Linked DNA regions of Drosophila melanogaster. The protein of the gene in region 2 interacts with the protein of the main gene of each other region in a pairwise test. Each region holds a gene or a part of one and is shown on either strand. Other genes may lie near its edges.

Region 1 (6,520 bases), 5.2 Mb from region 2:
TATGAAATGCCAATAAATAAAGTGAAAATGAAGCTTGCAGCTGGATGGGAAAATTATTTGCTAAAGAAAATGGAAAACGAAAAGGATGTCGTAGAAATATATGGAAAGTGGAAGCTCCCCCAGCATCAATCACTGTATTTTGTTAGAAAAATATTTTTTAAACTTAAATTAAATTGAAATTTAACTACAAGAGCTTTTTGCCCCTTCGTCGGGCGTCATAATTTTCACCCACAAAGTAGTGCACAAAAGAAAAGCAGCGAGCTTCAAGTTGGCGATGTCTTTTTGGGGGGCTGAGGTGGCAACTTTAATCAAAAACTAATTATGACCGACAGGGAAGTCCGGCGTGTCTGTGTGTGGGTGGCTGGGTGTTTTATCTGGTAAATTACATTTGAATTATGACAAGAACGAAAACGAAACCCCCAACGCCAAAAGTGATGTGCAGCAAATGAGCTAAGCGATGGCCAAGTGAAATTCGAGTGGCGCACGTTGGGCGAAATTGTGGGAGTTTGACCATTACAAACAGATCGGCCGCAATTTACGCAACAAACAGCGAACTGAAAATTGGAAAGACGCGACGGGCAGGACAACCGCAGGACCTCCAACTGGAGGTATAAGGAGCTCCGGGAGCTGTGAGCTAAGCGGCAACTGGAGACCGACAAAAGTTTATGTGAAAAACAGACAATTAATTTGTTTTGCAGCGCAAAAAGGACACGAGGACAACAACAGGACTCGGGCGTCGAGGACACAGGACACCAGCGGACAGGACACCAGCGGAGGGCCAAACAATTTCGTGCTCGTTGGCAAAGGAAATTTACGTGCCAAAGACGATTGGGAGAACGCAGCTCTGTCCCAAAGAAGTCGAATCCGGACCAACAGGACGGCACAGTGTAAATGGTCAAACATTTTACGCTTTTTGTTTAATTAAAATTGCAACAGGCTACGTAGTTCTCATTGCAGCAACAGGAGGATGGCAAAGAAAATCCGAAAATAAAAACACTGAAAAATATTCAAATATATGCTACATAGTTATTTGGAACTCTGATACTCATCGAAGATTTTTATTTATATTTTAAATATTTTATATAAATAATATTATTGTTGGGCGAAGAATGTACATATCAAGTTGATCGTGCTTTATCTATAACATTTTTTTTTTTACAGTGCAGCCAAGTCAGCGTTTTTCAATTAAGCTTGCATTTCATTTAATATAGGAGAGAAGTCTGCAACATTAGTGCTGCCCTTTGCCGGATATTCTCTGTTTGTGTTTGTCCAGTTATCCTCTATTTGCTTTTGCCGTTGCCAAAGGAAGGGGAATCCCCCCTGGCTGGCTTTTGTTTCTTTGGCGAAGAGAGAAAACCTTTTATAGCGGTTATTAAATTGCTCTTTAAGTGCTTGGCACGGGGCGTAAGCTATTTGCCCTATCCCAGGTTGTTACCTGTTACCTGTCCTCCGCATCAGTTGCTCCTCCAAATCCGCGTACGTGTTGGCATATCAATTCACATTACGGTCCGAATAACTGCATGCATTCATCTGCGCCAAGGAATCCCGTTCATATCAAGCAGGATTCGTCCGGCGGCGGGTAGGGAGAAGAAAGAGGGTGACATCGCCGGGAGGTTGGACAGGATGTCGGAGATACGCTGCCATTGGCACTGACATAACCCCATGTGCAGTGTATCACGTTCCAGTCATTTGGTGGCTGCCACTTCATAATTCAATAAAACAATAAAAGCAAAATCCTTACAAATTACAGCAATCAAATCATACGACTTACATGGGCATCAGTGATGACAATTCAGGGTCTGAATATTTTGCACTTTCAAATATCATTTAGTATGTGAGCAGAAATATTATACATATCATAGGTGCTGAGATTTCCAGGAATACCGGCAATACTATCTGAAATATTAGTTTTTGGAATATGGAATATATATATATTTGGAATATAGAATGAAAAACCTGCTAGGAGCACTAGCAGCACTTCCCTGGAAATGGAGGATATTGCGCTTCCCGAGCATATTTCCATAAATTGGTCACAATTTGCTATGCGCAGCAGCACGGAAGACAAAAGCCCTGAAAGGACGACGCACACACATAGGAAGGAATAAGCACTTGGCGCGCGATGGCAGCCGTTAAAGGATGGGCAGAGTCACCCAAAATTATGACGCCAAGGATAATCGTAGTGAAGCGAGTATGTGTTTCCCACTCCGCCGGGGAATACGTGAGGCGACTATAGTAGCCTCGGGATACCGGCACACGAATCGTGGCCAGAAAGTAGTTACTGTTTCTACTGCTCTACGCAATACTTTATTCATGGTACAACCGATATCTATCTCGAAAAGCATTGGTGCGCGTGGGATAAAATGTGAGTTTGACAAATGTATAAGGCTTATGTACTATCGTTGGAAATGTACTATGGCGCCCTTGGAAATTGGCCTACAATGTGTAGATGGCATTGACATTGGGTCCATGGTTCACCATGGCATCCTTGTGCACCTGGTACTGGATTTCCATAATGCCCAGATGCAGCAGCTCCTTTATCTGCCTGCCAATGGACAGGATAGCCTCTACATTGCGAGAGTCCTTCGTCCAAAGGGCTGTAAAGAAAGTTGACCTTAGAGATACCCCAATGTGAAATGCTGTCTTATACCCACATAGCTTATTAGCCTTGTTGCGCACATTGATGACCACTCCACATATCTCGTCCGAGTGCTGGAAGCACTCGCCAATCATGCACAAAAGCTAAAGGAGATAATGCTTTATAATGCATTGAGCTTATAATTATGGTGCAATCATGTGGCTTACCAAATCGTGCCACATCTTATCTATATAGGTCCTGGAGGCCTTGTCCAGGAGCAGTATCCAACGACCACCGTTCTTATTGGTGTCATCCTCCCACATGGGACTAAATATTTATATACATAAGACGAGGTTCAAAGAGCAGACTTTCAGAACTCACCGAATATTTTTCTTGAAGACCATGTAGTCATTGAATATCTTCAGATCCGATGGCGGCTTCACAAAGTAGTACACACTGTCGAAATAGAATAGGATATATATATATAGGATATATATATATATATATGAATCTGTGTCTGACCTGAAGAAGTCCTCAACGGTGTTGAAGCTGGTCACATCGACGAGCATTTCGGCCCAGCGCTTGGTACGATCGTTCTCCAAGTGCCACAAAGTCCAGGTATGCTCCAATGGATGCTTCATGGCCAGGTCGTAGTCGATGTTTTTCATCACCCGGTTCAATGAGGGCTGCAACTCCTCCTCATTGCCGCTCATCAGTTCCAAACCATCATAAACTGCCAGACCATGTGACCAGTCATTGGGATCTCCATACGGCACCCATGCTAAATATATTCGATTCGCATATCGAATGATGAATCGTAAAAAAAAAGATCTGCTGTCAGCTTACCAGTTTCCTCAGCATTCTGCAATCCGTTGCTTACGTAACCGGTGTACACCATTGTTTTTTATTGATTCAATGCGATAAACGAACCTTTTTTTGTTAGTTTTCTCGTTTTATTTTACTAAAAAAAACTCCTTGAAATGGTATATGTCTCGTGCAAAGTATAAGCGTTAATGAAAATGGCTTAACATGAGTGCACACTTTGACAAATCAAGATATGACAGCTAAAGCGTTGCCACCTTGGTTATGAAAAAGTATTGGAAAAGTCATGTGACCATCTCGTTGCGTAATATGCTTATTTTCAAAAGACTCTATCCCTTTATCGCCTTTATTATTTAAAATATTTTATGGTACATCCTGCCATTATTTCATCAATAAATCTTGTATCCAAGTCTTAAGCACCCCATTCAAACACTCCGATATTGCAGCTCCCATTCGCACATTTTGGTTGCAAAATCAAATTGAGTCGGTTAAGTACGAGCCCGAGGGTCTATCAATTGAAATGTCACGCTAATAAAATAAAATGCCACCGAGCATACGATAAATGCACGAAAATAATAAAATGTGACTCAAATGAGCGACGACGACAGCAACCACAGACACAGACACGGCCACACAAAGTTGGCAGCCGGAAAGACGGATACGATTGGGAATGGAACTGGAGCGAGTAGAGGAATCCCCCTTTCTTGTCTGCTCTGGCTGCTCCTTGTGCAACAGTTTGGCCTGCAGTCAATAATCGAAATCGACTTGGGCTTGTGGCAATAAAAATTTGTCTTCGCCGCTTAAGTTGTGCGCCTTGTTGCACACACAAGGTCCTGGGTCCCTCCGTGCCGGAGTCCTTTGGCAAAGCCCCACACCTCACCCCTGCCCGAACCCATCACCACGCCCCTGGCGGCGGTGCAGATAATAAAATATGTGAGTCGCTACGTGGCAGCTCCTTTGGCGTTGGCAAAGTAGCTTTGGGCCCTTGTAATGTGCACCATTTGTTGCGCGGCTGGTGGTGCGGTGGCACCAACTTGCACTCCAACCAAGATGCTCCGCACCAGCTCCATCTCCGTTTCCATCTCCATCTGCTGGATGCACGGGTGAGTTATGCCGGCCAAGTTTGGAACAAAAGTGTTGGCACTGCTCCTTGTTCTTGGTTCTCGCAGCCAAATAAGTTGCCAGCCCCAATTTACTTAAAAATTCTATTTATTTTTGCTTTTAAGCAGCTTTGGCGGCTGCTCCAGCTCGTATTTCTGGGATTTTTTGAGGAAAAAACTGCTCCAAATTTGTTTCGTTAATTGGGAGAATAAGTTAAAACAAGGAATTGTAAAATTTTAGAAAGTGTTTTAATATCTAGACTATCTTAACTTAAAGTACATTTTATAAGCTCGTATCGCACGTTATTCCCTTCCTCTCTTCACTTAAACAATAGATAAAACTTTTTCAGCTACTGCTGGTTTTTAATATTTATATTTTTTGACATGCCTGTTTATTCCTTGAATCCCATAACTAAAAATTACCTGCTCCAAATGGAGTTGGTAGCCCATAAATTCCCGAGAGGGAAAACTTTAGTTCCAACTCTTTTTTTGGGGCTTCTCCCCCATTCGAGTTAAGTTGCCGGCAAACGCTTAGCTATGCTTTGTTAGATTTGACTTTGTGCTCCGCTCTTCTCAGGTGGCACTTTGGCGTATACGCAATATTTTACAGCTTTTTGCACTTTGCTGGCTGAGCTGAAAATACATGGTCAGTAAATCTTTTAAAATATTGTAATGTTGAGGGAGTCTATGGGGGGATGGCTCCCGCACCAGCTTAAGCGATTTGAGTGCCGAAGCAGTAAAAACGCCCACAAACTGCCGGGGAAAACGAAGGGGAAAAGCGCGTAAATGGGGCAAACTACAAGAAGAAGCCAAGGATCCAAGGACTCAAGTATCCAAGAGCTAGGACCTCATCTTGAGGCAGTTCTGTGCAGACAAGCGCATGCAAGAAATGAAAATGATTTGAGGCATTATGTTCGCTCCGGTTTTACCCCGCCATTTCTCGTTTCGCTTCCGTTCGGCTGTCTTTTCTTCTTTTTTTTTATTTGTTTTTTTTTTTTGGCTACAAAATTGCTTTGCTGCTGCTTCATGTTGATTGTAAAAGATTTCAGTGCTGAAAGCACAAAGCATGCGATGATGTACGGAACGACGCACGTCGTACATTTTGCACCTTGAAGTGGCAAGCGGAGGAGATGCTCTCCTCCACTCCCGCTTCTCCGCCCCATCCACTGCGGGCAAAGACAGCCACATAAAACAATAAAAAGCAGTGGTAAGTGTCGGGGATGGGTAGCGACAACACATCCTGCACATCCAGCACCTTAAGGCCAAGCCAACTGACAGCAGCTTCCGGCAGCCCCCAGTCCGTCTGCTCCATCTGGCCCATTTGCTTCAGCTGCCACGCCCCCAGTTGTCGTTTGGCCCTCTCACCTGGACAAAAAGATACAGGTGTACGAGGCTTAAGTATTGCCACACTAGAAGTGAAAATTTTAGTGGCTCTAGAAAATAGTTATTGATTATTATGCCAAATCATTTTCATGTTTGTTTGACAGAATAATTTCTTTACATTTGACCCAATTGTATTATAAATCATTAAATTATTATTTTTAAAATTTGATAATGTGTTGTGCTATCTATTTATTATGGTTGGATGTAAATATTATTGAACATGTAATTTTTATTTTATTTTTTAAATATTATATTTGATCAATATAATATGAAATATTAATATATTTGATTAATATATTGATTATCAAAATTATCCAGCTGAGCCTCTCCTATTATTTTGCCCATGGGTGTCCGTATATGTGCCTCTTTGCAGTGCTAAATACTTTGGACCAAGACGACGCCTCTGGGCGCTGGCTACCCCGACTTGGAGCTATAGCTTCTATATCTTTGAAGCCGCTGCTCGAGGCCAGGTGAAAGTCATTTCACGCTGTGTGTAGCGCAAAAGATTAAAATAATAGCAGCGCGTAAATTAAACAGTCCGTTGGAGCCGAAGCGTAGGTGCCAGATGGGGGATTTTAAAGGGCAATGGAAAAAGGATGCGGGGACATGGCAATGCTGAGCCATTGAAGTGGCAGCCATG
Region 2 (7,657 bases):
AAAATTAAATGAAACCCGAACAGACCCCGTAGACCTACAACCAGACACTTTAGTCCTTAGGAAGGAAAACAGACGTAATAAGATTACACCCAGGTTTTCGATTCACAAAGTCAAACACGACAAAGGTCATACATTGATAACTGCTAGGAATCAAAAACTACACAAATCAAAAATTCGAAAAACAGTTTTGAAAAAAGACAAAAGCAACAACGTACCCAACACTGATAATAACTGACCCCACTACCTCTTAACTTACCATTTCAGGTTCACCCTTGTGCCAACTCAGGCTATCCATGTCCATTATTTAAATGATAACGCCCCTATAGCCAAGATAGAACTAGGGAAAGCCTTACTAATTGAGAGGTACAAAATAATTAGTCATGTAATCAACCTACAAGACTACAGCAGATGTATGGAACAATTCCATCTGACCATTAATAAATTTAACCCCGATTCCACGTTGACGGACTCCGTCACAATTTTAAAAACCAAATTAACCCAAGCCCAAGTAAAGCTCAAAGCCCTTACACCTTCATATAGAAACAAACGGGGTTTGATTAACGGATTGGGGAGTCTAGTAAAGGTGGTTACCGGCAACATGGATGCCAACGACAATAAAGAAATACATGAAGAACTTGACAATATAAAGAAAAATTCCGAAGTCAGTAACGACAATCTCCAAAAACAAGTAATGTTTAACAACGAAATACTTATCCGGTTCGAAAATATCACGGACCATATAAATAATGAACAAATTTTGATAAGTAAATTCTTTGATACCTCACAAAACAAAATATACAAACACTTAAACTTACAAGATACCCTTCTGGAAGAAATACAATATTTAAATAGGATTAATTATAACATAGAATTATTCATTAACCACCTAAACGACATAACAGAAAGTATGCTATTGGCGAAAATAAATATAATTCCCAAGTTCATCCTAAATGAACAAGAAATGGATAAAATAAAAACAATACTGGAAAAACAAAATATCACAGTCAAAAATGAACAAAGTATATACAATTTCCTACAAATGAATACACTAAATTACGAACAAAAGATTATTTTTAATATCAAAGTCCCAATTTTTAAACAACCTTTTCATACCCTCGCCAGACTAGTTCCATTACCAATAAATAACACATATTTTGTAATAACCCCAAATTACCTAGCTTATAATATTAATAATAAGAAATTTCATATGACCCGTAAATGCCCCAAACTGGATAATACATTCTTGTGCGACGAGAACTTCTACGTTGATACACCACAGAACAACACATGCCTGGAACACCTTTTGAACGGAGAAAACAGTTCCTGCGATGTACGGGAAACCGGCCCCATCACCGACGTGTTCGAGGCAGAGAGAGGTTACATCTTCGCATTCAACGTGAACAAACTGAAGGTATCCCTAACAAACGGCTCCGAGCTCTCAATAATGGGGTCAGCCATCATCAGATACATTAACGAAACAATACAGATTAACGGTATCGATTACGACGGCACGGTTGACACGTTCCCTGAACAGACGGATTTTGATCTTCCCCCCATGCGAAAAGTAACTAGGAATACCACTATTACGGTACTAAGCCTAGAAAAACTGCACCTCGAAGCCACCCAAACAATGGATAAAATCCTGGCCGTCCATCACAATACTATACAGCACACCTGGACACTCTACACTCTGCTCGGATTGGTAACGTTCCTAGCAGTCATCTTATGGCTGCACCGACGAACGAAACACATCGTCCACATCCACGAGGATCATCACGTACCAATCTACGCGTCATCCATACCTTCGCTATGGCCGTCACTTCGAACTGGGGGGGGAGGAGTTACCACCCCACCCCCTAAACCCCCACGCCTCTAAACAAATCATCGGACACTCAACCGGGAAGACGGCAACTGGAACACCGCATCCGGCCGAATGCTGACATTCCGGCCGAATGCTGACATTACACAAAAGTCGCACTGCAACATTGTCCCCAGCTAGCCAGCCACATGCCGAGTCGGCATGTTCATTATGCTTACAATTAAGAACCTATGTACTTATGTATAAGACGAAAACGGAGGACTCGAGTAGCCACTCTCTGACAATAAACTTCATACTGATTTTGAACTTCAAGAAAGTCAGTCGTATTCTTTATTGGAAATCTTCACACTACAACTATCTGCTGAAACTTAAAAACCTTCATACATTTACACATCATATCTTCACAAAAGGCTCCACCCTCGATCACGGACTTAACTCCCGCCCTCGCTCCCCCTCGCACTCTTTCAATGTTTTCAAGGCGAATAATGCAAGAGCGCCCCAGCTAGACGTCTCGCTCTCGCACAGCTGTGTCTTGCTAGGGTGGAGAGAGGGAGAGAGGTGTTTTACTCTTACAGCTGAGCTGCCACGATTTGTTTGTATACAGAATGAGGCGCACACACACACGCGCACTTGCTGTTTTTCTTCTTTCGCTTTTAAAGCTCTTACTTCCTTTTTTTGATTCTAGTTTACAAGGGCTTATAGTTCAAGCCGCTGTAAATAATCCAAAAACTCACCTGGTACATGGCCGTCTTGGGCAAATCCAGGCAGACGGCACAGCACAGGGCATTGGAGATGCGGTGGGCCAGCTTTTCGTGCATTCCCGAGGCGGCTGCGGCACTGGAAAGCAAGCTGCTGCCGCTGCTGCTGGTGGCACCACCGCCCCCTCCGTCCAACAACTGTTTCTTGGCCGGCGGTTCTCCGCTGCCCTGCGTGTCCAGCGGCACGCCCACCACATTGCCGCCGCCCACCGACGAGGAGGACGACGATGTGGAAGAGGAAGAGGCCGAGGAGGCGGAGCTGGTCGTGGCCACCGCCTGGTTGTCGCCCAGGAGCGGTAGGTTCGAGGACGACGGCGGCTGTTGGACCGCCGAACTGGAGGATTCCACCGACATGATTGGAAATTTTCTTGGAATAATGTTTGTTGTGTTTTTCTTTGCCACTCGCTTCGTACACAAACTCCCACACACACGACCACTAAACTACTACACACACACAAGCAATACCCAGTTTGCTCTCTCTCTCTTTCGCTCGCACACTAAGTATGGCACTTTCTTTCAATTGCCACCTTTCCCCGCTGTCCGTGTCGTGTCGTTCTCTTCTGTGTTCTTCCGTTCTGTTCTGTTTGCAAGCTTTTTGTCCGCCGACACGTCCGCTCGCCAAAAAATTTGTTGTCTTTCTAGAGAGTGTTGTGCGGTGTGACCAAATCTTATATTAGGCAAAATACTAGTATAACGTATCGATGTTATTGGCAAAGCCTATCGATGTTTTTCTATTGTCTGTGTTTCTCCAGCCCTGGTTGATCGTTAGCAGGGACACCATCCCCTTTACAAAGTAATAAAATAACAAATATTATTAAATTAACCATTTCAAAATAAAATAGCATTAAAATAATATAGCAAAATCTGCCTTCATATATATAATTTTACAAGTATATTATTGAAAACGAATCCATTCGTGTTTAATGTGCTGCCCTTATATCCGGCAGTACGGAACTCGTCACTCGCGAGATGCGGTCACACTGCTTGCGGCAAACGGAAAACATGTAAGAAATTAAATATTGTGATTTTGTCTTTAAAATGTACAAAAGTTTGACAAAACACAAACGGCAGGTTCTTTATGAAGTCACCTCTCGCAAAGTGAACTATGACTGGTCAGTGGAGGTACGGAAAACGTGGATTAAAGAGCGAAAAATCGCAGTTTTCTCAGCAGACATTTTTGTATCACTTCGCTGTGCGCTGTGTGTTTGGCATTTTTTGTGTTTGTGTGTGTGTGTGCAACAGCGGCATCAATTTGAAAAATAACAAAAACAAATCGTTGGCGTGTTGAACAAAAAACTATACGTATTTGCTATCTGGCTTGCGTTATAAGAACCATTTGGACAAATTGCGTCTTAAAAATTTGGTGACCAAGATGGCTTCAATTTCATTTTCGGTGGTGAATTAAAAACTTTAATGAAAATAAAAACTTAATGAATTGACTTTTAATTCACGTGCAATTATTATGAAAATTTTTGAAAATTAAAATAAAAATATTTCCAAAAACGTTGTAACAAAACTACACTTATAAATTGGCTTTTGGCTTGCTTAGTGAACTTAGTTAATTATTTCCAGCTGTTCCCACTCAAAAAACAAATCGTATACATATGTGTTCTTATTTCCTTTGCTCCTGCTTTTTCTCTTCCCCTTCTTTTCGTTCCCTTCCCCTTTGCGTCCTCTTCCCCTTTTCCTAGCCAGCTGTTTGTCGCGTTCCACAAATATGGCTGGAGTGTGGATCGCGTTTGGAGCCCAGGCTCCCACATTTCTCTATGTGGAACGCAACCTGTGGCCAGCTGTTGGGTCCTGTTGAACTCCCCCCAGCCAAAAACTTACATATGTATATGTATTTATTTTGTGTATATATGCATGTGTGTATAACAACGCCAATTGCTAGGGTTTCTGCAAAACGTCCTGGCCACTTGAAGGTGAAGTGTTACAATACCATAAAGGGGTTTCGCCATTTTTAAAAGTTATTTTATTACATTATATTCAATAATGGAACTTCAGTAGCGTGTCAAAGGATTTCTCTTTGAAAGAATACGTATTTCATATCCAGCATTTATCAGCTGAAAAACATGAGGGACTTTATACAATCTGTTAAATTTCTTTGCATAAAATGATATATATGTTAATTAAAATTATTAACAATAGCTAAAGTCCATGTAACCCCTTGAGCGCGGATGTTTTCCCAACACTCCTCGAATGGAATCCACATCCACTTTGTTGCACACACAGCTGGCAGTTGTTGTTTTTATCCGACCTCCTGTGCACACACACACACAGACGGACGTACATGTATACAACACTCGGGGGTCGTTTGTGGACTCCATTTGGCTTGGCTGTTGGATCTTCTTTGCGTTTTCTTCATTCGTGCAGCGCCAATCGCGCGGTGTGTGTGTTGCGTTTTTCTTATTTGCAAAATCGTTGGAAAATGGTAATGAAAATGTATACAATATAGCAACAGCAGCTCCTTTCAAGGAAATATCCTCATTAAAGTAATTACGGTACTGAAAGCAATTCAAAAGCTAACAATGAAACAGGCAATTAACTACACAATATGTTGGCTTAGGTTCAGTGTGTATGTATTTTGGATGGTGTTAAATATAAAACTCTAAAAATATGAGTAACCAAGTGCGAAATGAAAAAAAGTGTGGAAAACGTAAGCAAATATGCGCGCAATTGTGTCTGTATATGTGTAGGAAAAAGCGTCCTCGTACACCCACACAGACTCACTTTGGAAAATTTAATGAAATCCAAGCTATACCGCCCTCTCACTCCCACTCACTGTTGCGTTTCGGGATTTCATTTTGTCGCCCCGTTTTGCAAAAACAAACAACTGTTTTTCGCTTACCGTTACTTATTTTAATTCAATGTTCTTCTCTTTCTCGCTTTTTACAGTCGACGCGCCTCAATTGTTAATCATTTGCCCGAAAATGCATTTCAACTGCAAGAAACTTACGTGAAAAAGTGAAAGAAAAAAATATTTTCGAAACGTACAATGTGAAAATGTGTTATTTGAAACTTAGCAGTTAAGCGCGGATTGTATGTATTATTTAAATTTTTGTTTCAATATTTTCTACAAAATTATTAAAAAGAACTACAAAAAAATCGAAAACAAAACGAAAAAACCAAGAAAAAGTTTTTAACTCAGTGCACATTAAAACGAAAACAAACGCAAAAACAAAGCGTAACGAAACGAGAAGGACCACGAAAAGAAAGAGAGCGCACGAGGAATTGGCGAAGGCGGGAGCGAAAGAGAAAAATGTCAACGTTCTTGAACAATTTCTTCCCGGCAGGTAAGCAAAAACAAAGCCAGAAAAGCAAAGGAAATCAAACACAAGCAAAGACAGGGAACGTAAGAGCAGAACCACAGCTGGTGGCAGGAGCGTATTGGAGAGGGGTTGGCGGGGTGAAATGACCCCCCCATCAAACAAGTTGTTCATATACATAGTTATTCTATGATTGTAATAATAAAATTGGTATGTTTATGAGCTTAACTCAGTGATTAATCATAGATCAGCTTTCTTATATTGATCGGTTAGTACGTTATTTTATCTGCCCCTTTTTAAATCCTTCGCACGCCTCTGGCTGGGTGGCATTTAATTGAAAGTCACCTTTGGCATATTTCATAAGCGTTCTCACCGGGGTCATCCTGTAATTCAATTCTGCGCCTCTCTTGTTTTTTCTCTCCACTGGCGGCATGTAAATTGAATTTTCCTACCGAAGCGCATATTGTGATTATTGGCAATTACATGGACGTGACCGAGGAACAAAGGAGGCGAAGGAGATAAGTAGGCAGAGAATGCGAGAGTGAGAGAGAGAGGGATAGGGACGGGATGGAGTAGCGGCCTAGAACAGAGAATCTTGGCATAATCAATCTGCCCCAAAACAATCTATACACTTCCCTTTAATTACGTACATTCCTCGCTGCAATACCATCGATTATCGTTTTGTTATTCCTGGAAACGCTCAGATTCCCATTTACTGCTCCTTGCAACCCCTCTGGGATCAGGAACAAGTTCCACACACTCTGCATTCTCCTCATGCATTTTCTTTGTCCTGCGAAAGAGATGGTCATAGAGAGGCCGAGACAGGGAAACTCATACAGGTACGGCAGGAAAAACCACTTCCTCGCTTCCCTGCCCTTTGCCAAAACCAGAGCCAAAACAATGAGACCAGCACAAAGGCTGCTTTCCAACGGGCACTGAAGCTTGGGATACTCTCTTTAGGGTGACTTTGTACAGTGTAACATTAACATATTATCCCATTATACCATAAATATTTGATCGTCGAAAGGATATTGTACAGGATGTCCTAGGACATTCAGGGTGTTTTTCACAATCATTCTTTACCAAGTAGATTCTGTTTCACATTTCTCAATAAAAATAATTTGCACGAATAATAAAAAGCGGTAGCAATACCAATTTGGGATCGAAGGATTAAGCTAGATGGCTTTAAGCCATCTTAGCCAAGTTAAAATCTCCGAATTACAAGAAAGGGTATAACAACAACCAAGCAGTCTAAGTAAATTGGTAATAGGTGGCAGAGGGGGTTGGCTGGGCTGAATGAATGCACTCGCAAACCCGTTTGCAGAGCCCAAAATTCAGACCGATCAAAACAACAGCGAACCAGAATTACAGCGCTATCAACAATGGCAGCTCCTTTCGAGCTTTCGGTTCATCTGGCTTTCTGGCTTTCTGGCCTGCTGAGCTGAGGCCAACGGCAGCTGACGGAAACACATTGACTTTGGTGATACGATGATGCTGATAGGATGGACAATGGTACAATATGATGGCGCTGGTTACTTCTGGATGGTGCTGCGTGGCCTGTAGGTGCACTGGGTTACCTGTTGATGGCCCTGCCACTCACTCCTTCTTCTCCGCTTCCTTTTCCGACGGCGTCCGTTCTGGTCGAGTGCGGTGGAAAACTGGTTTACCAACTCGCTCCTTCCATCTTCGCTTGTCCCTCCTTTGTTTTGGGCCGATTGGGCCGAGCGTAAACAAGAGAGGCTCAGACGAAATTGGAGATCTTCAGCTCGGCAGTCTCTCTGTTTATGTGTTTTAATTTTTTGGCCAAAAGCGGA

Evidence for each region. The genes of interacting proteins can lie anywhere in the genome.
Region 1: the proteins of PAN3 (region 2) and eIF4E3 interact in a two-hybrid assay, tested with the Drosophila melanogaster proteins (2 studies listed by BioGRID).

The regions. Positions count from the first base shown.
Region 1 is NT_037436.4:8,226,335-8,232,854, reverse strand, and holds eIF4E3 (eukaryotic translation initiation factor 4E3), read right to left. Parts: upstream 3,632-6,520; 5' UTR 3,474-3,631; coding exon 3,422-3,473; intron 3,357-3,421; coding exon 3,098-3,356; intron 3,032-3,097; coding exon 2,957-3,031; intron 2,903-2,956; coding exon 2,803-2,902; intron 2,740-2,802; coding exon 2,652-2,739; intron 2,595-2,651; coding exon 2,434-2,594; 3' UTR 2,287-2,433; downstream 1-2,286. Other genes in the region: CG7213 (uncharacterized protein), read left to right, coding at 699-891.
Region 2 is NT_037436.4:3,067,609-3,075,265, forward strand, and holds the start of PAN3 (Poly(A) specific ribonuclease subunit PAN3), read left to right. Parts: upstream 1-3,524; 5' UTR 3,525-3,699; intron 3,700-4,938; exon of another isoform or gene 4,939-5,152; intron 5,153-5,472; 5' UTR 5,473-5,836; coding exon of another isoform or gene 5,837-5,870; intron 5,871-7,657. Other genes in the region: CG32486 (uncharacterized protein), read right to left, coding at 2,554-2,931. UniProt on the Drosophila melanogaster protein: Regulatory subunit of the poly(A)-nuclease (PAN) deadenylation complex, one of two cytoplasmic mRNA deadenylases involved in general and miRNA-mediated mRNA turnover.